3 linked regions of the Rhinolophus ferrumequinum genome follow. The protein of the gene in region 1 purifies or fractionates together with the protein of each later gene. This does not show direct contact. Links are inferred from orthologs where the notes say so. Each region holds a gene or a part of one and is shown in the gene's direction. Other genes may lie near its edges.

Region 1 (7,486 bases):
TACAATTCTGCATCTAAACAGTATCTATATCTCACATTGTGTGTTCACCACTCAGAGTCAGTTCTCTGGATTCAAGAGATCTTTAGGAGGTAAAATCAAAAGGCTTGATGATGGGGAGGGCTCAAGAATGGCCCCAAGTCATTGGTGACCTTCTAAGAGCTGGGATGAGCCTGGCACCAGAGGAAGCAATTGAAGAGACTGAAGTGAGAGAAGCGAGGAAATGGAGACAAATTTCAGAACTCTTGAGAAGTTCGGCTGTGCAGGAAGGAAACAGGACATAGCTGGAGAAGTAGTTAGATGAGAGGCTTTGTTTCTTTAATGGAAGAGAGGAACATGTTTAGAAAACAGTAAGAAGGGCAGTTGAGAAGGAGAGTTGGAAGGCATGAGTGAGAGGAAGGGTAATTAATATAAGGCTCCTCAGAAAGCAGGAGGTGATGGGATCCAAAGCACAGGTGAACTTGGCCTTAAGTGGGAGGAGGGTAGCTCTACCAGGTCATGGGAGCAAAGAGGAAGCGCGTATTAAACAAGTCCAGCGCCTCGAACACTGCCTGACACATCAGGGGCCAAAAACTGTGTTCAGTGAAATAATTAACTTGCAAAGTAGGTGATGAGGGCATCTGCTGAGGATGAGAAGCCAGAGGAGAGGTTTGGATATTTGGGGAGAGTAAAGGACTTGAAATGATCCTCGTGGAGATGGAAAGGCTTGTTGCCTAAGAAGCAACATAAGCCAGCCTTGTACTGCCGCATTTGGAACTTGAAGATTATAAATTTATAATGGAAGCAACTGCCCTGTGGAAGGAAAGACTCAAAGATGGAGGCTAGTGAGATTGAAACAGAACAGGGTTTCTCATCCACTTGCCGACTCAAGGGTGATTCTGGATTAGAAGAAGAAATCTTTAGAAACCCATCAGCTAGGTCTGTGCCCCTGCTGAACTCAGCCACCTGCAGGCCTTGACTCTCTTTAACCAAGTCTGTGTTAGGAGAAGGAGGCTGGTGCTTATTCAGGTCCCATGGAGGTCGTTTTAAAATCCACCCCTTGTCTAGCCTTCATACTCATGCGTGAGGATAAACTGATCCAAACGGCCAGGAGGGTGTTTTAACCAGGTGCAGACGCAATGTTTGGGCTTCTCCCGTCCTAGGTCGGGACTTCTCTCATGATGAAACGCTGGATGTCCCAACACAAGTGGAGCTGCTCATCAAACAAGCCACCTCCCATGAAAACCTCTGCCAGTGCTACATTGGCTGGTGAGCGGGCGTCTCAGTACTTTTGTTAAAACAAGCAGTCAGGACCCCACCCTGTGCCCCAAACCCAGAGTCCCCGAGACAAGATTGGGAGGGGGGTGGTAATCCATAAAGGGTATTCGTAGTTCACATGTCTTTAATTTTTGTATTCACTGTGTGTGCTCATTGCTCTAAAAAGGAGAAATTTGAGGAAATATGGATGCATATTAGGAAGGCAAATACCAAAATAAGTTAAAATTACATTTTAAATGGTTTAGAAAAGTGAGGCTTCCTTATTTTGAGGGGGATCTTTTGGATTTTTGCTGTCAATTCCAAGATACAGGAAGGCAAAGTAAAAGAAGCCAGAGCAGTGACAGAGAAGGAGATGAAAAGACAAACTTTGGATCTGGGATTATAACATCAAGGACCACTCAGTCCGCTTTGATTAATTGCCTGAGGCATGCCCGAAGGTAGAAACTTGAGCAAGAGGGCCATGGGGAAGTGTCCTGGGACCACAGCAAACGTCAGCACTTGACTAGCAATGACGAGTGTGTCCTGCACAATTAGTAGTGGGAGATCTCAGGGACTCTCCCGGGGGTTGTCAGACCTTGGTCTTTCCATTTTCAATGTACTCGTATCTGTGTAAAGCTTTGAAGAAGCCCAAATTATTAAAATATTCCTTTTCTTTCTGTCGTCTTAGGTGTCCTTTCTGGTAACTGGAGGCCCAGACGTGCCCACAGCATTTCCCTTGAGCCTTTTGTACTTTGGTATATGCTTCCACTAAACTGAAACCATGGTCGGAAAGTTCAACTTTGTTAAATATTTTGAAATGTAAATGAAAAGAACTACTGTATATTAAAAAGTTGGTTTGAACCAACTTTCTAGCTGCTGTTGAAGAATATATTGTCAGAAACACAAGGTTTGATTTGGTTCCCAGGACAGTAAACACAATTAATGCTACCTAAATCAAGCCATTGATTTTAGGGAACAGAAGATCCATAACTTTAGAAATACGGGTTTTGACATAACTCACAACTCATCGTAAGTGTTTGCTGATCGCAGAATGGCCTAGTCGTGCCTCTCAACATGAATACAGCAAACTCAGAGCAGTCAAGAAGCCTCAGGTCATGGAGGACACGTCTTAGGATTCTGGACCGTAAGGATGCAGAAGCCGCCTTCTTCACTTTCACCCATCCCGTTACCTCACTGGTCCGTGGACGGCAACAGTATATGCGAGATGGGCCAAAATGGGTGGGGAAAGGTCCGTCTTCTGCCTCACCCACGATGCTGCGATGTACACACTTCAAGACCCAGACCACTAGCAGGGGAGTTTCTTCAGATTACTGGGTGACCTCAGCTGTGCAGATGCACAGAGGGCATCACAGTGCAGGGGAGTGGCCCACACAGGCCTACTTCTGGGATGTTTGCAGTGACATCTGAACGCTCTGTGTTTAGAGCAGGGGCTTGGAGAACAAGTGCTGTCAGGCGGTGCTGTACACAGGGAAGGCCTAGTTACATGTTGGAAATGAGCAAAACAAATGTTAAACTAAATGCACAAAATATAAACTGTAGCCGTGTCTAGACACCATGTTGTATCTGAATAATTTTTGTGCCAATAAACAACAGAATTTTAAAAACGTATGAGTGGCTTTTCATAATTATTAGTTCATAAAGGAAGCAGTTATTCCTTCAACATTCACTAAGCACTGAGTACTAGGGACCATAAAGGAACCGGATCTACATGACCTAGTCTGTTTCCTCGGGGGTGTTCACAGGCCGGAAAAGGCCGAGACAGTATCAGGCAGGAGTGGACTGACAACTCCACGACACGAAGGGGTGAGAAGGGCCACGTACAGGGTGTGAGCCACAGGTGGGGCTCTGAAACGACTACGCCACTGGGCAAGGCAGGAAAGCCTCATGGGAAGGGGGACATTTGCCGTGTGTCTCAAAGGATGCGCGGGAGCTTGTCATTTCAAGCAAGTGAGGACATTCTCGGCAGAAAAGAGGTGTCAAAGCGCAATATGGTGTAGAAGTGGTGAGTATTAACTTGAGCCGTATTAGATTGCTGGTATTCAGCCATGTTTTATATATAAAATGGTGGTTTCATAGTCACACCTCACAGGTCAGCAGGTCTACCTCAGTGGTCAGTGGGGAATAAAAAGAATAGGAACGAAAAGGAGGCCAGAAAGTAGAGTGGGGCCAGACTGGCCTGCCTCACAGTTCAACGGCAAGGAGTTTGAACCTGATACTGTGGACAGCAGGGAACCATGTGAGGTTCTAAAACAGGTAGAAGCTGCATCTTTCCTCCTCTGACAGTGGGTAATAGTACTAGGAGGAGGAGATGATGCATGTAAAGCACTCAGCACAGCCGGACAGGTGGCATTAGGTCAAACCGTATGAAACAGGTGCTCAGAAATATGAGTTGTTAAATGAACTAGGCTAGGCTTTTGTTCTGCCAGGGTGCCGGTGCACCCGAGGTACACAAGTGGGGGAAAACAGTAAAAAACAAGTATCCTGTTAATAGGATGTTCTGAATAACAATAAAAGCTAATATTTACTGAACACTACTAGGCCAAATGAATTGCATCAAGGGTGTGCCACCCCTGATCTTAGAATATATACCCACTGAGCTTCCCCAGTCCCTCCCCTGACCTGCCTAATGGTGCCTCCCTCGTAGAACACGAACGCTTCGAGGCATTCAGTTAGCAAATGTTTTGAGTTCCCACTACGTGGCTAAACAAGAGGGGTTCCGGGGGTGTAAAGGAGAGGAACACGTGACTGGAGGTGGAGGGCACAGGAGGTACGCAAGGTGGGAGCACACAGATGCCTTTTCCAGGAGTTTGCCTACCAGGGGCAAGAGAAAGGCGACGGTGGCTAGAAGGAGTGGGGTGGAGTAGTGCTTTTTCGTTTCGTCTGTTTAGTTGGGAGATGCCAGCATACGTGTAGGCTGTTAGGAACGGACCAGTAGCCAGGGAAAAGATAGATGATGCAGAGAACGGGGATAATTGCAAGAGCCAAGTTCAAGCGGGTAGGAGTGGCACGGAACCACAGCTTGGGAGGAGCTGGCTTTAAATATGAGGATAATTGGGTTCTCCGGGTCTCACCCTAAATCACAGGACTGTTGGGATGATATAATACGAGGTTAAAGAAAAATGTAAAGTTCCCTGGGTGGAGCGCTCAGGACCGTACTGCTCACGCACACGCCCCTTAAGATCCTGCCCGACGAAGACGACCTTTGCACATGCGTGGTGCGCGCACGTCGCGTCGGCCCGAGGCACTCTCGCGAGAAGAGCCGTGAATGCCGGAAAAATGGCGGTTCCCAGTCCCGGGGACTTGAAGGCCCCGCCGGCTACGAGCGCGGCTAAGTCCGACGAGGAGATGGTGCTGCCGGGATTTCCGGACGCGGACAGCTTCGTGAAGGTGAGTTCGCGGGGCCTCGGGGACGCCGTGAGCCTCCAGCGGCGGGCCGGAAGCAGGCCCGGGCCCTCTGGGCGGCCGCACGCGGAGCCCCGGGCGGGGATCGAGGGGCCGCTGCCCGCTCCAAGCAGTCTCTCACTTCACCCTCCGGGGATGGGGCCTCGCACGCGGACACTAAAGGTAGCCCCGCTTTCCAGTGCGTTCATTCTCCTAATTGAGCCCATGCAGCCCTGAGTGTGGAGCGCCCCCTCCACAGTGGGAAGGGCTTTCTTGTCACGCCGATGCCCCAGCCTTCGCGAGCTCGCCCCCGCCCGGGCCTGAGCCACCCAACCAACTCTCCCGAGGGGCTCGGCTGCTTTATGTTGCCTTCCTACATCCTCGCCTCCCGCGGCCAAGATAGTTTTTAGTGCCTCTTCTCACTCCTGAGGTCCAGTCCTACATAATCCCAAAACCTGGGTTTAAAGTCACCTGTGCAAGCTGTCACTGAGTCTCCCTCCTCTAGGTACCATAGAATATGTATCAATGCCTCCTCGAAAGAACACAGAGAGGGTTCGTTTAGTTATTTGTATAATGCTGCTTAAATATGAACAAACATAAAACTATTTTAAACGCCTTATGCATAGCTCTTATAAAATCATGAAACTAAAATAATTTTTAAATTAGCACTACAAATTCTCAAAAACTACACTCACATACCTACTTTATTGTTAGCAGATGCTATTATTAACTTATTTATTTGGCTTTGGTAGTTCCTGGACCACTAGCCATGGTCCTGATTGGGTGTGTTCATGCTTATAAGCTACCAGGTCTACCCCACCATAACTCAGATTCCTTTCTCTCTTCTTTTTCTTGGAAAACTTTTATTACGCAACTCACAGTGAAGGCATTTGGCCTTCACATGACCAACTATCTTTTTTATCTAGGACAACCACTTCAGGTTTTTTTCTCATTACCCCACAACAATTAAAACAGAGGACTACTTGGCACTAACTGAACCATAAACGTAAGTCCAGTTGTGGGCAGTAGCCATTATCAATTGGTCATCCAAAGGATCTAGAATATTCTTATATTGTTTTTAGATGCTCATCCAAATGAAAACACAAAACTTAATTCCTGTAGGAAACTCATGGATCTGAATTTGAGTAGTAATAGTAATAATAGCACTTCTGTGCCAGCAGCTATCCTAAGTGATTTTATTAGCTCATTTAATCCTTTCAACAACTCTATGGTGTTGGCACTTAAATAATGCCGATTTTTCAGAGGAGGAAACTGAGGTCCAAATAAATGAAATAATTTGCCCGAGATCACAGTTAATAGGTAGCCGAGCCACGATTCAAACCCAGGCCAGTTAGAATATTACTCATACGTGTATTTGTTCTTCCTCTCCCCACTCTCCCAAGAATGTAAGCTCTAGAACTTAGTTTTGTGTTCACCATTGTACCCTGAGGACCTGGGGTAAAATCAGCACTAAGTGAATATTTGTGGGATTGGATATCTTCATCATCGAGCACAATGTGTTACTATATATAATAGGTGTTGAAAAAAAAATGAGTTGCTGAGTGAATGGGGATCCATGTTTAAAACGTGCTTGGTTTTCTGGTTTTTGACAGTTTGCTCTTGGATCGGTGGTAGCAGTCACCAAAGCATCTGGGGGCCTACCACAGTTTGGCGATGAGTATGATTTTTACCGAAGTTTTCCTGGCTTTCAGGCATTTTGTGAAACACAGGGAGACAGGTTGCTTCAGTGGTAAGTGCTATATACTGTTTTCTTCTGTTGAAAGAAATGAATATAAAAAAGGAGGTAATTTTTCCTGAAATGTGTTTTTTCTGAACATAATTTTCAGAGCTATGGAAATGTAAAAATAAGACAGTGGATTTTGATTAGGGAAACTTGGTAAATTTTGAGTTTAACTTTTAAAATATCTTGACTTTTGCACCTACAGACAATGAATCTTTTTGAATTAATGTAGGACTTGAAAACCTAGATCCAAGATTCTCTCACAACTTGCGGAGCCACAAGTATTAGCCTTCTAATAAATGTATTAGGACAGACAGTACACAAACACTGATTTTTGTTTAGCTGTTCCATGACAGAATTAGGGAATGTTTTCGATTTCGTGTTAACACAGTGAATGCAGAGTACATTATTTATATAGTATTATATATCCTTTTAGAATTTAAAGGGAGCTTTGAGTAATTTCTTCCACCCCTTCAATTAACAACAGGTGAGTCTTAGCGAGATATAGCGGATTGCCCAAGGCCACACAGCGTGTTTCACTTTAAGGGTGCAAGTTCTATTCATTTGATCAAAAAGTACTGGGAATAATCCGAGCGAGGCCTCTCGCGCTTTCTCCCCGATTATAAACAAGTGCACACACTAACCTTGGTTTTCCTGTCCTTAGCATGAGTAGGGTAATGCAGTACCATGGGTGTCGAAGCAACATTAAGGACCGAAGTAAAGTGACTGAGTTGGAGGACAAGTTTGATTTACTTGTTGACACCAATGATGTTATTCTGGAAAGAGTGGTCAGTATTTCTCCTTACTCCCTTCTTTTTTTTTTCTTTTTTTGATTACTTTGTAGAAGAGTTTAATCGAGCCAATCTGACGACATATGACAGGGAGCAAGATCTCAGTTGCTCTGCAGAAGTACAGCTTTGCAGCTTCTTCACCTTACTCTTAAGATAACTAACAAACGAGAAGCTTTTGTATTCTTAAAATATGAAAAGGAACCCAGGCACCTTAGGAAATGGAAAGGAAGTTTCGCATTTCTTGCCTGTAACATATTCCTTTCTTTGATAGTTGGCTTCCTTTTCCCCAAAATAACACTTGTCTTCAAATATATCACTT
Region 2 (7,154 bases), on another chromosome or scaffold:
GTCCCTCTAGGAAGACCCCTCCTGGAAGACAGAAACTCCTTCATCTCTGCCCAGTACGGGTGTGTTGCAGGGAAGGGAGTCGAGATTCAGGCATCCCCACTTGCCCATCTGCCCGTCCCCACCTGCCTATGCCAGGTTGTGGGGCTGGGTGACTGGGCACGGTCCCCGAGGTGGTTATGGCCAGCACAGCGTCTGAAGGGTCAGGAGGGAGGGTGTTTGAGCTGCCCTGAGGGAGGGGCCACTGGCCCAGCAGCAGCAGGAGCTGGACAGTGGTAACTCAGCTAGTCAGAGCTCAAGAGCAGCGGTGAGCCAGCGAGCATGCCAGGCTGGGGCTGCAGGCCAAGAGATGGGCCTGTTGCAGGGGTACAGGGAGTGGCATTGTCACATGGAGGGTGGTGCCCTGGACGTGGCCCTCCATTCAGGGGCAGGCAGCAGGCAGGCCCCATGACAGGTCTGAGGACAGCAGATTCCTGGGGCGGGCAGCCACCCCCAAGGCTGACAATTGGGTTTCCATTTTCCAACATATGAAGGACTTCCTTCATGGAGTGTGTCTTCTAACGGGACAGTTCTGTTGCCGTCATTTTGAGTGTTTTCCTCATGTTACGTTTATCGCTTATTTCACATCATCGTTTCCTATTAACTGGTTTGCTCAGTGCAGTTTCTACTCATTAACCGGTAGGTTTTCCTGGAACTTGCGTGGCCCTTTCCCAGCTGCTGCAGTGTGGCATGGTGACTTCCAGTGGGGAGTTCTCACTGGGGCCGGCTGTGGGGTGACACCTCTGAGAGCAGTGTTCCAGGACACATGGTGGCAGCTGCACTTAATCTCAGTAGAAATAATGACCATTTTAATGGTTCCTATAATTCGGAAATAACCCTAAGTCTAAGGATTATGGAGTACAGTATTTCTGACAGAACTAGTGATATTACCCCCCAAAAAATGACAGGCTCGGACCAGTCAACTTCAACTCAGACACCCTGGAAGCTGGAAGGTGAGCTGTGGGGGCAGAATTCTATGAGAGCGCAAGGTTTCCTGCCCAGTGGACACGCCCTGCATGATCCCAGGACTGTGACTGGCGTGGATTTTACGAACAACATTAAGTTGTGTTATGTGGCGAACTGAGGTATCCTGGCTGAGTCTGACCTCATCAGGTGAGCCCCTCGAAGGACAGGCCTCTTCCTGGTGAAAGAGAGGCAATGTGTAAGAGAGATTCCATGCCAGGGAGATTCTCCATGTGGCAAGGAATGTGGACAGCCTCTAGGAGCTGAAATATCACAGTCAAAATATTGAGAGACAGAGAAAATCTCAAAAGTCACAACATAAAAATGATTCATCACATAGAAGACCAACACCTAATTCCCCATCAGAAACAGTGGGGGCCAGAGACAATGGGATGACATCCTCGGAGTCGTTAAAAAGCTCAAGCAAGAATCCTACCCAGTGTACTGGAGAACGATCATTTGGAAATTAAGGTGAAATAAAGACAGTCTGAGATGAACAAAAATAGGATTTGGTACTAGCAGACCTACCTTACAAGAAATACTAAAGAAATTTGTTCATGCTGAAAGGAAGTCGGATCAGACAGTCATTCAAATCCAAGCACTCAGTGCAGACACTGTACTCACAGACGTCTGACCTACAGAGCTGTGAGTTAACGGATGCACTTTTAAGCCACTGCTTCGCGATCAGTTGTTACCCAACAGAAAACTAGCACAGCCTCCCAGTTGAAGGAAGCTTGGGACTTGATGATAAAAGAGGCAGAAACGATGTGTACTCTTCCATGGAAGTCAGCACTGTGAGACCTGGGATGGGACTTTGAGTAGCTACTCTCCCAACTGCTATGCGCCCTCCTTCCTGGCAGAAGCAACCCATTCCACCTTGCCGGAGGAGCCTGGCAGTGGCCTCACCCCTTCGAGGGGCCCACCTGGTGAAGTGAGGCTCAGCCAGGATACCTCAGCTCGCCATATAACATAACCTAATGTTGGGCGTAAAATCCATTCTAGTCACAGTCCTGGGATCGTGCAAGGTGTGCCCACCGGGCAGCCAATTCCTGCAACCCAAAGATGCACGTGCTGCCCTCCCCTCAAGGGGCAGTCCATTTCTCATCCCGTGGAATGAACTGGCCATGTGCCTTATTTTTGACCAGAGAAATGTGATGGAAGTGACAGCGAGCTGGTGCCAAGCCTTGACCGTGAAAGGGCTGGCAGGGGTAGGATGTCCAGGCAGGCTGAGTGACCCTCTCACTCTGGATATTGACCAAAGGGCAAACAGCATTTGTTCCAGGAGGTCGACTAAGTCTTGGTAAGAGCAGCAGGAATCAGTGGCATTTGAGCCCGAAACTGCTGCTGCCCAACCCCAGCTCCCCACTCTGAAGGCTCTCCTCCAAGGGGGCAGAGGCCAGAACTCGGGGCTCCAGTTGCAGGGTGGAGGTTCCACTGGGAAGGACAACGCCTCCCATCCCCCCCATAGATATGGGGCACTGCTCTGGGTGAAGCAGGCGTCCACCCGCTCCCGCCCAGGGTGAGCGGCGGGCTGGGAGGCTAGCAGCTCCACAGCAAGGCTGAGCAGGCTGGCTTTCTCTGGAGGCTGTGTGGTTTTGTGGAAGACAATGGCTACCTTAGTGGCGAGCAGTTACGAGAACGCTCTAACAAATTACCACAAACTTGGAAGCCTTAAAACAACAGACCTTTCTTCTCTTTCAGTTCTGGAGGCCAGAACTCCAAGCTGAGTGTTACGCACTAAAATCAAGGTGTCAGCAGGAATGATTCCTTCTGGAGGCTCCAGAGAATTCTTTCCTTCCCTTGTCCTTGGCTTGGGCTACATCACTCCAATCTCTGTCACTGTGGTCACCTCACCTTCTGTCTTCCGTATCCAAATCTCCCTCTGCTTCTACTTTAAAAGGATATTTGTGATTACATTTGGGGCCCACCTGGAAAATCCAGGACAAGCTCCCAGATCCTTAACGTAATCATCTGCCAAGTTCCTTTTACCATACAAGTAACATTCACAGCTATCAGACATCAGGACCTGGACGTCTTTGGCGGGGATTCTGCCGCCCATTACACTGGCTGTACAGGGGGCAATCTTTCTCCAGCAGCAGAGGACAGTGCCTCACTGGTGGGGAGCTCAAGCAGTCTTTGCCCAACAGGGGGCTGAACCCTAAGCCATGCTAACCCAGATGTTGGGGAGCTACCCTTAAATATAAGCACTGGGGTGGGGGGGAAGGGGGTGGGCTGGGAGGTGACATCAGCAGCTGCACACTGGCAGGAAACTGACTTCACAGCACTGGCCCAGACAAGCCACTAAACGAATAAACTACTCAAACAGCAACATAGCCCATGGAGCGACTGGCTACTCATGGTCCAGGGCCACTGCATAGATTATCTAAAGTGTTTCGCTTTCAACAAAAAGTTACCAGACCTGCAGAGAAACAAGTTAGCGTGACAGCTGCACAGAAGAGGTTAGCGATAGTAACTGCCTTTGAAGGGGCGGATTCTGGACTTGAGGACACACAGCCATGCCCCACGAAGGGCAGTGGCGGGGCATACATCCTGGCACAACTACCCCACAGGTTTCACGCAGCCAACAAAATATTAATGAGTTCCACAGGACAATTTAGATGGATTTCATAAGGTATTTTTGGGGTGAAAAACAGAATGTGTATGAAATGACCCCATTTTAAAAAACAACCAGAATTCCAAAAGCCACTATGGCTATACCCATACAACTTCCTGTATTTGTGTATAATTTGTATGTACGGAGAAAAACATGCAAATGACCATTTATTAGGTTAAAGTCAATGGGGGGAGGGGGTGTGCAGACAGAAAAACCAAGCCAATGTGGAAAACAACATTAAAACTGCTCTGAGGGGCCGGCCCGGTGGCTCAGGCGGTTGGAGCTCCGTGCTCCTAACTCCGAAGGCTGCCAGTTCGATTCCCACATGGGCCAGTAGTCTCTCAACTACAAGGCTGGCATGCAGGTTCAACTTCTCCACTCCTGCAAGGGATGGTGGGCTGTGACCCCCTGCAACTAACAACTGGCAACTGGACCTGGAGCTGAGCTGCCCCCTCCACAAACTAAGACTGAATGGACAACTTGACTTGGAAAAAAGTCCTGGAAGTGCACACTGTTCCCCAATAAAGTCCCGTTTAAAAAAAAAAAAAAACTGCTCTGAAAAGAACTGTGCCCATGTGTATGCATAATATAAAATTATGTCTATTTTTAAATGGACAAAAGGAAACACTAAACAGGAAGGAAAGTGTCCCAACTTGGGAGAATGGGTATTTACGACTGCGGAGCAACTGGAAGCCCGTAAGGACGAAGCCAGGATTGCTTCCAGCCCTCGCTGGTCCCGCCCGCGAACCTCCCAGGAGACTCCAGGCTTCAAAGAGAAGCAACGCCGAGCCCGGCGCGGGGCACAGGCGCGGCGTGACGACCAGGGCGCCGTGAGAACAGCCCCGTGACATAGGGACGCGGTCGGGGGATCCTGCCTCCCGCGGGTCTCCAGCCCTGGCGGCCGCAGAAAAGCTCCCCAAACGGCCCCGGGCACAGCCTTCTCCTCCTGGGCCAGCACCGCCCAAGTCCCCCGAAGGCGGCAACGAGGACAATGACGCCACCCGGGACCGTAACTTTGAGTCCGGAAGCGGGGAGCCGGCCCGCCGGAAACGCTAGACTTCCGGGAGACCGGAAGTGGGGATCCGGGCCTCCGGGAACCGTAGTTCGCGCAGAGGCGTCTGGCGGCAGAGCAACATGGCGGGGCTGGAGCTCCTGTCGGACCAGGGCTACCGGGTAGACGGGCGGCGTGCCGGGGAGCTGCGCAAGATCCAGGCGCGCATGGGCGTGTTCGCGCAGGCCGACGGCTCGGCCTACATCGAGCAGGGCAACACCAAGGCGCTAGCGGTGGTCTACGGGCCGCACGAGGCGAGTGGGCGTGCGCGAGCCGGGCACCGCGGGCGGGTGGGCGCAGGCTCGGGAGGCGGCGGCCGGCGCGTCTCCGTTTACGCAGCACATCTTCCGGGCCGAGGCTCAATCGGACTAAAAGTGGAAGTCCTTACGCCGCGGTGCACGGTGGTCCCTGCCCTTTCCACCGGCCACTGTCTCCTGCGCCCTCCCCTCCTCCATGCTCTTCTGCAAGGCGCCAGGCACGCTCCCCCTCGTTTCCTCACCTCTCTACTCCGACTTCACGGCCTGGATGATACCTCCCCAGACCACCTTATTCAAGTCCCGTCCCCTACAACCACACGCTTCCCTGCTTTTCAGCATCTGTCACCTCAGACACCAATTTAACTTCTCTTTCTCGTTGGTCTCCCCACTGGAACATAAGCTCCAGGAGGAGAGGGACTTTAAAGCCGCCTGTTTTAGTGCCATGTCTCCAGCGCCGTAACGGTGCCTGCTAGCACAGGCACTGAAAAAAAAGTTTGCTTAGCGCATGAGTTTAGGAGCCCAGCTTTCCTGGGGGAGACTAGTTAGGAGGGGGAAGGCCAGAGGGGGTGGAAACAAGCGTGGCACGTTTGCGGAGCAGAAAGGCTGCTGCTGGGGCAGATGGGGAATAATTCCAAATGAGATCGAGAGCTTTCTAGCGATGGCTTTGTAGACCAGGGGTAGGACGCAGGGTTTTATCTCACATGTGATGGGGAGCCTTTGGAAGGTGAGCAGGTTATGTGGTTGTGCAGAGGAGACAGAAGCAGACTTGATATTTGTAAACATACTGGCTCTGGCTACAAATGGAAACTGGGTTGGGAGGGGATGAGGCAGGGATGGAAACAGGCCTGTAAGACAGAGGAGATCCAGCAGTGATGGTGGCTTAGACTGTTCAGTTGCACTGGTTGAGATGTTATAGGTAGTGGGGAGGGAGGAGGGAGGCTGAAGTTCTAGGCCTGAGCCAGAAGGGCTAATGTCAGCTGGGAGGAATGGGCCTGGCTCATGTGTCTTTTCTCCCCCCAGATCCGGGGCTCCCGGGCACGAGCCCTGCCAGACAGGGCCCTGGTGAACTGTCAGTACAGTTCTGCAACCTTCAGCACAGGTGAGCGCAAGCGGCGGCCACATGGGGATCGGAAGTCTTGTGAGATGGGCCTGCAACTGCGTCAGACCTTCGAGGCGGCCATCCTGACACAGCTGCATCCTCGCTCCCAGATTGACATCTATGTGCAGGTGAGTGGTGAGCAGGCAGCAGCCCTCCCCCCAGGGACCGGAAGGGTGTGAGGGTCGGCAGCCCAGTGCACTGATGCCACTGGGGGGGGGGTCCCTGCAGGTGCTCCAGGCAGATGGTGGGACCTATGCAGCTTGTGTGAACGCAGCCACACTGGCAGTGCTGGACGCTGGGGTGCCTATGCGGGACTTTGTGTGCGCCTGCTCAGCCGGTTTTGTGGACGGCACACCTCTGGCAGACCTCAGCCACGTGGAGGAAGCTGCTGGTGGCCCCCAGCTGGCCCTGGCCCTGCTGCCTGCCTCAGGCCAGATCGCACTGCTGGAGATGGATGCCAGGCTGCATGAGGACCATCTGGAGCAGGTGCTGGAGGCCGCGGCGCGGGCTGCCCGCGATGTGCATGCCCTGCTGGACCGTGTGGTCCGGCAACATGTGCGCGAGGCCTCTGTCTTGCTGGGGGACTGAGCATCGGCCCCCATGCCCAGAATAAAACCCACAGTCCACAGCGCTTCGAACGCCCCACGGCACTTCGTGCTCTCAGAGCCTGGCTCCTGGGGGTGACCAGGGACCCACCCTGCACATGAACTACATGCCTCTTGCAGCCTCAGGATTCAAAGCCTGGAGAAGAAGGGGCGGGGGTTGGGGGTGGGGGCGAGTGTGTGGGTGGAGAGAGCAGCTTATGCCCAGAATGGTTCAAGGCAGCTGAGCAGTCAGGTGGGGCCTGGCTTGGTGAGCTAGGCCAGTAGTAGACTGGGGCCCTGAGCACAGGGCTGCGGGGGAGCTCAGCCGGCTGGGTGCCCACCCTGGAGATGTGGGGGGCCATGTCCCACATCCTGTGGACTATGGCTTGGACCAAATGGAACTCTTTGGGCCTATGCTGCAATTACCTTGGGCTCCAAAAATTCAACAGACACATGTTCTCACCTGGAGTATTCTCTCGGCTCTGACCGGTCCCCAGTGAGACACAGACACCCTCCTCCCCATCACTGCACCTGACTCTTTAGCAGACGC
Region 3 (6,923 bases), on another chromosome or scaffold:
TCAGAGCCAGGAATGACCCAGCCATTTGTCTCTGGAAATCTGCTTCCAAAGAGGAAGGCAAATAAAAAAATGCAAAAACAGGAAGAAAGTAGAGTCCACATGGGATTAACCATTTTTTCCCCCCAACAGATCAATATTCATACATCACTCCTCTATTTCTACTTCGGATTCTGTTGCTTTCTATGGCTGTGCTCTCAGGGTGTGTATGTGTCTTTAAATATTTCCAGATTTGCTCATTTGGAAACATGAGCCCCTTTTCTCACACATGCCCTAACGAAAGACATGGGAAGCACCCAGCCACTCACTCAAAATGAAACACACGTGAAGACCCTTCCTCTAAATGAGAATAAACTTTACCCATGTATTCATATCAATTTTTCTATCACTGTAATCACAAGTTATAATGTGTAGAGCAGCAAGACAGATACAGCCCTGCTGGCCAGACTGTGACAGGTTATAATGAAAATTCTTTAAGACAAGAAACAGGCAGGACAAATGCAAAGTGTTTAAAGGAAACAGATCTGTAGGGAAAACAGCAGCTCACTTTTGCTTTTCTGAGGTGCGAGGCTAATTGTGAAAATGCAAAGGAAAAGGCCTAAAACTTGGCTCCCTCTGTTTAAAGATTGGGAATAAAATGTTCGTTCCTCGGGCTTTTAGGAGCTCTCTGCAACTTCAGCACCACGGACGCAGCACGGCATCGAAGCTCTTCTGTCACCGGCTTTTACTGCTTTAATGAAGCAAGGCTGGGTGGGACAGATGGACTCCATCTCTGTAAGGTTCTCGTTGCCCGCTAGTGGCTCGCAGCAGCTCTTCACCTCTTGCCCTTGGTGCCTGGCATGCACAATTAGCACCTTATTATTGGCTGGCCTCTTGTCTAATTATCATGTGTCTCAATCGAGCAATATTTTATTGTCTTGTTCATGCACTAGCTCAAAGTGCCTGGGCTCCCCGGCTATAATAAATCCTAAACCCCTTTTAGGCAGGTGTGTGTTTTCAGTTTCTTATTACTTCAGGCCCTCGAGAACACAAGCGACTCTCGGGCACACAAACAAGTACTTCCTGATTGTTTGAAGAGCTCCTAGGTGTCTGTTGTGGGTGTAAGGCACGTGGTTGGAATCTGGGTCTCCATGCCATCTCCGTACCAGATCCATCGGCCTTCTCTGCCGTTGAGGGCTGTCCTCAGCTCCTCTAAGCTCCATCAGCCTGTATTTAACTGTTTCCCTTATCCAAAGGGGTTAGACATAGGAATTTCCCATTAGCACCACGTTCTATATTAGCTGTGCAGGGATTGGAGCTAGATTACCTGGTCTCAAATCCTGGCTCTGCCAGTTACGTGACCTGTGGCCTTGGTCAAGACAAGTAACTTCTCTGCACCTCAGTTTCCCAATCTGTAAAATAGGGATAATAGTATCTGTCTCGTAGAACTATTGTGAGGACTGAATCAGTCAATCTTTGTCAAGTGCTTGGTACATAATAAGCACTATGTAAGTTAGAGTTAAATAAAATTAATAGGGTGCAGAGGTTTAGAATAGACAGACCTACAAAACAGTATGCGCCCTAGAGAATCTGACAGTGATGGAAAAACAAGCTGGTTTAACAGAATAACGTGCCATCCTTGGCTTTTGGATTTTCTGGCTAACATACATTCTTTGAATGGCTTCAATAAACCAAAAAGGAACTCTGAATTTATGGGTTTTAAAAATGTCTAATGTATTATCACAACAAATGGGATAAAAATGTTCTGGCCGCACTGAAGTAGAACGATCAGTGAAGGTATCGTTGTTTTAGTAGAGAATGTAAAATGAATATTCTACTATTTATACCTCTCACACCTACTTAGCCTGTTAAGTCAGACATCATTCATAATATTACTTAGCAAATACTGCCAACCCTTCTCCAGCAAGGAACCTTTAGTCAGTTGTCGGGGGAACAGTTCAGATAGAGCTTTTATATTTTTTAAGACATACTGATTTTATATTGAGATGATTCCATGGTATCCAAACTCAGACTTTCCTTTCTGTGTCTTTTCTGATCTGTCCATTTGCTGCCACTTTTTAAATCCTTAATCCTCTTAGATATTCCAGCTACTAAAATTCCATGTCCAGGGTCTCTCTTTTCTGAGCAATCTCTACCACAAAATCCTGTTTTAACATCAGCATCCTCTGTTACCACAGAGTTCCTCACATGGGATCCAGGTGTCAAACCACACAGAAAAACGTCTATTGCCACAACAGATGGGGCACCTGTGTTTTCATTAGGGAGGAAATCCTTCCGGCTTCACCCTTCCGTTTCCCTGGAGGGCAAAGTCCAACCCTGCAATATGTCTTCCCTGTAGGTGCACCTGTAAAGAACTACGTAGAGACATAAGAAATAACTAATGTCTAGTCTACTAAGAAGTGATCATCTATTTTAGGAGCTTAGCAGTTTAGTGCTTAAGAAGGTGGACAGGTATTTCCTTTCTGCACCTTCCTCTGGCCCACCTCCCTGTCCCACTGTGCTCACTGGTGCCACCGTCATAGCTCTTAACCACCATGTTCTGTGATTATGGTGGCCCTGGAGCCTTCCCTTCTGCCTGGGGAGCTTCTCCGGGCAGACGTCGTGTTTCACTGGCCTTAGTGTTCCAAGCTAGCCCAAAGCCCACCCACAGCAAGATCCCAATAGTCATTTGGGAAACTATATTGAAGACAGTATCTGGGAAACACCGGTCGTTCTTTGGATGACCAAGCCATCAAGGGTTACTTTCACTTTTGAGAACAGGGAGGTTCCCCAAATACGGGACGTTTAGAAAAGTCATCAGATCCCCTCTTTGCTTCCATCACTTTCGGTTAACTTTCCTCCGTTTATCCACATGGCTCTGTTAAAATCTGTGCCATACCCTGTCTGCCCCGCCTTGCTGGGGCTCCTTCAGTGACCCCATGTCCACCTTGCAGGTATCCTTTCTGGACATTGGAGGCCGAGACTCCTACTCGGCCAGCACCTGGGCTTCCGCCCCGCCTCCCCGTCCCCTCCCGCCCCCAGCAGCTGTCCACAGCTCCCAGAAATCACCCCATCGAGTCAAGGCTTCCAGCCACCACTGAGAAGCGCTGGGGACGCCTGGGCACTGCGCCCCTCGCCAGCGCCGGTTACCAGGACTCTCCCTCCTACTCTCTTTGGGATCATACTCCGGCGACCACCCGGGGCAAGGGGATCCTGAAAGGTCCTGGGTCAGCGTTCGGTGAGAGAGAGAGAAAGAGAGAAATGGGGGGAGGGGGAATCCGTGGGGTGGACTGAGGACGCCTCGGGACTAGTGGGCATTCATTCCTGGCCCGGAACCTTTCCACCGAGAAGCTAAAAAGGGCTTCATCGCCTCTTCTTTTCAACCATCCTAGGGACCAGGAAAATGCAGGACCGGGCGGTGGGGGTAGGGAGACCGAGACAGCCCCCGGTCTGTAGGGGAGACAATCACCAAGTCCGCTTCCCCTCACTCCGGTGTCTCTCTCTCACACACACGCACACGACCTGCTACTTCCACTCCAGCTCTGAGCAATCTGCGTCGCGCGCCTCTCCCACTACGAGTCCTCCGGCTTCGGCCCCGGCCCCGCGCCTCTCACCTCACCCCAGCTTTTCCAACCAACTCCAGTTCCGCCTCCCAACTGACCGTGAAGTCGGAGGCAGTTCCCCAGTCCCAGGCCCCTAACGTGGCTCCCGCCGCGGCCTCCCCCTGCAGTCCTCGACCCGGGCCCCGGCTTCGGGCTGCAGCGATGGCTCCCCGGCACGAGGCCCCGCGGCTCCCTGGACTCTGCCAGACACGCGGCAGCGCGCAGGAGAAGCCCATGGAGCTCCCGGCAGTGGCAGCAGCGGCGGCTGCAGGAGCGGCCGCCGCGCAGGCTGATGACGCACAGGAGCGGGAGGCGCGGCCCGCGCGGGGGCGACGCGGGCTGATGACGTCAGGGCCGGCTCGGCAGCATGGCGTCCGTGACGCTGAGCGAGGCGGAGAAGGTGTACATCGTGCACGGCATCCAGGTAGCTCCAGCACGGCGCCGGCGTGGGCCGCCGGGTGTTCCTGGCCCCGCGGGTCGCGGGCGGCCCTCGTTCACCCGGGAGGAGCGGCCGCGCCGCGGCGGGTCTGCGTTTACCTTGGGATTAAACCGCTCTGCGGCCGGCAGCGTGGGCGATTTAGGAGCGGGCGGCGAGCGTCCGTGCAGGGCTGGGTGCGTGCTCGCAGCCTCCCGGGTCTCCGGTTCCGAACCCGGGTAGGAAGCGGTGCGCCCGGTCCCGGAGGCCTTTTCGTAGCGAAGGAGCGCGGCCCCAGGGCCCTCCCTTCAGCCTTCGCGAGCCGCTTCACTGTCGCGGTGGCTTCTGGCCGCCTTTCCTCGCCTCGTGGTTGGGAGTCACAGCGAGAGAGAAGGCACCCGAGGTGGAAGCGCTTTGGGAATATAAATCGCCTTACAAATAAAGGAAGGGTGTTTAAAAAGTGGCTCCACAGGCAGCAGCATAATTTTTGCTGTTGGCCATTTTGTCTCTGGAGAACTAAGGTCCCTAGAGGCAGCTGTAACTACACTGAGCTCTTCTGTGCTCAGCCTTCAATCCCTGGTTTGGACCACCACGGAACCCGAGCCTGGTAATTAGCTACCGAGGAAAGCCAAGGGCGTCCTTCTTGTCTGTAACCTGCCCAGGTTAGAAACGTCTCCCAAAAGTCTCCCCAGAGCCTAGGCAGAATCCTGTTCTTGCCTGGATTGACCTGAGCATTTTGTGTTTTACTTTTCACTTTTGGTTTATTATGGTTACTTTCATCTCGTCTGGCGTTCCTTTTACATCAGTCTTCGATTCCTTTATTACTCCTAAGATGAGGAAAAGCAGTGGCATATAAGGTGTGTGTATCAACGGGGTGCTGTAGTCCGTGGACGCCAAACGCGCTCAAGCACAGTGGAGACTACTGCGCTGGAGCCTTCCCCACGGAGGTGGGATTACTCTCCTAAATCCACGTCAAGTGCTTCCTCTGTGTATCCTCAGGACTCAGTATTTAACTCATTCAACGGAGCTAGACTCGAGGGGTAGGAAGTAGCCTGCCCTTCTATAGCTCTCATGCTAGAATGAACAGACAGAAATGACTTCTGTTTATTTGTGTGTTTATATATAAAATTATACTGAGGGCTGTGAAGGGAAAAAACGAAAAACAAGAAACCTGCCTCGTCTGGCAGGTCAGGGGAGGCTAAGGAAATTGCTTGATCAAGAGTTAAGTAGGCTTGAGCCTTCCAGAAGGAAAGGATGGTGACTCCACTCGTGCTGAGGGTAATGGTGGAAGATCAGGTTACAGAGGTAACCAGAAGCCTGATCCTAGGGATCTTAGAGGCTCAGCCACTCCCTCATCATGGATCTTGGAAGGTCATTATTGACCTGTCTGTATGATACCCTTAAGGCCTAGCCGGTGTCCAGCACTTAGTAGGTACTCAGTAACATTAAACAGTAACGTAGGCCTTAAAGGGGCGATGAGTTGGACAGGGTTTTCATTTTTTAAATCAAACCTCTCTCTCACCAGTCACCAGGACCATGGACACATTAGGGCCACAACTATTAGTAAATGTTCAGTTCTGTGTATCACAGAACCATGTAGACTAACTGACGAAATAAAACTCTTCGTAAGGATTGTTAATATTGGCCACAAATTTGCCGTGTTTGTGGAGGAGCAAAACAGAATTTACACCATTTGAATCAAGGTCAGAATGCAGGTGAGTGAGCCTGCCATGGGATCTCCACTGACTCAGTTCTAAAATCACCTACACTGTGGTTAAGTTGGTCACCGAGTGCCAGCAGAGTGCCGTAAGTCTAGCTGGAATCCTGTTCCTGCCCCTGTAGACCTAATCATTTTGTGTTTTACTTTTCACCTTTGGTCCTGTTTGGTTTTAGCTTCTGGCTCCCTTTCCCTCAGCCTTTGATTCCATTACTATTTCAGGGATATTTTATCTTATTTTGGTGGTGGTTAGAAGCAGTTGAAATTAACCTCACCATGTGTGTTGAGGATTCAGTTGCTAGTTATGTTAACCAACAAACTGGCTCAAGCCAAAAAAAAGTACGTATGAGAAGGCTATAAGTGTTTCTCCAGGAATTCATGGGCAGTTGGATCTTCAGGCTTTCGCTTGCCCATCTCTGCTGCTTTTTATGCCTTTGTTTTATTCTCCTCACTCTTCAGTTGGCTTTCTGTTTCTTGGGCCATGTGGTAGAGAGACTGTGGTTATCTCTCAGCTCTTGGGGTTACAGTTTCCTTGTATAAGAAAGCAGCCCTTCTAGTTCAGTTCCAGACTCGTCTATGGACAGAATGGTTAGGCCCAAACATGGCCACTGAGGGATGAGGCCACTTGAGAGAGAGAGAGAGAGAGCGCAATTAGTGGACAGGAGGATGAATCATTTTATGTTCTGGCAGAAGATGGAACCCAATTCAGATAACTCAGGGGACTTTCATAACCACATGGGTGCATTTCAGGGAACCAAGAAGAAATGTGGAAGAGCCCAACGTCTAGTGACCACAGGGAGTAGCTACGACTTCTAGGCCAAAGGGGCCAAAAAGAAGCAAAGAGTAAAAGAATATCTGTAGTAGGCTGCCCTTTATGTAAGAAGGGGATATAAAAAATATTCGTGTATCTGCTCATTTGTGCAAAGGAAAAAGAGGAACCAGGTTACCTACCTGGTGTGGGTGGGAAAGGGGGAGGAAGAAGAGGGGACATGAAAATAGGGATAAGGGGGAGAGTGACATTCCTCTGAGCACACCTTTTCTGAAAGTTTTGACTCTTAGAGCCGTGGTGAAAGTCCACACATCCAAAAAGTAAATAAGTAATTAAAAGTAACGAGGTAATTAAAAGTAACCGGACAAGTGAGTAACAGAGCCACCCTGAGGATGGGGACAGACAACTGGAAAACAGTGTTTTGTGTGGATCACTTGGATAACA

Evidence for each region. Proteins that work in one complex are often made in the same cells at the same time.
Region 2: the proteins of EXOSC10 (region 1) and EXOSC4 purify together in Homo sapiens (affinity purification with mass spectrometry; 9 studies listed by BioGRID and IntAct, with this or other methods). This does not show direct contact. The link is inferred for Rhinolophus ferrumequinum from reciprocal best matches to the Homo sapiens genes EXOSC10 and EXOSC4.
Region 3: the proteins of EXOSC10 (region 1) and EXOSC7 purify together in Homo sapiens (affinity purification with mass spectrometry; 6 studies listed by BioGRID and IntAct, counting the BioPlex papers as one, with this or other methods). This does not show direct contact. The link is inferred for Rhinolophus ferrumequinum from reciprocal best matches to the Homo sapiens genes EXOSC10 and EXOSC7.

The regions. Positions count from the first base shown.
Region 1 is NC_046292.1:7,452,752-7,460,237, reverse strand, and holds the start of EXOSC10 (exosome component 10), read left to right. Parts: upstream 1-4,483; 5' UTR 4,484-4,530; coding exon 4,531-4,641; intron 4,642-6,248; coding exon 6,249-6,385; intron 6,386-7,040; coding exon 7,041-7,164; intron 7,165-7,486. Other genes in the region: serine/threonine-protein kinase mTOR, read left to right, coding at 1,140-1,245, 1,922-1,937. UniProt on the Homo sapiens protein: Catalytic component of the RNA exosome complex which has 3'->5' exoribonuclease activity and participates in a multitude of cellular RNA processing and degradation events.
Region 2 is NC_046297.1:72,919,985-72,927,138, forward strand, and holds EXOSC4 (exosome complex component RRP41), read left to right. Parts: upstream 1-4,269; 5' UTR 4,270-4,747; coding exon 4,748-4,918; intron 4,919-5,941; coding exon 5,942-6,148; intron 6,149-6,248; coding exon 6,249-6,608; 3' UTR 6,609-6,648; downstream 6,649-7,154. UniProt on the Homo sapiens protein: Non-catalytic component of the RNA exosome complex which has 3'->5' exoribonuclease activity and participates in a multitude of cellular RNA processing and degradation events.
Region 3 is NC_046300.1:9,960,864-9,967,786, reverse strand, and holds the start of EXOSC7 (exosome complex component RRP42), read left to right. Parts: upstream 1-3,917; 5' UTR 3,918-3,945; coding exon 3,946-4,002; intron 4,003-6,923. UniProt on the Homo sapiens protein: Non-catalytic component of the RNA exosome complex which has 3'->5' exoribonuclease activity and participates in a multitude of cellular RNA processing and degradation events.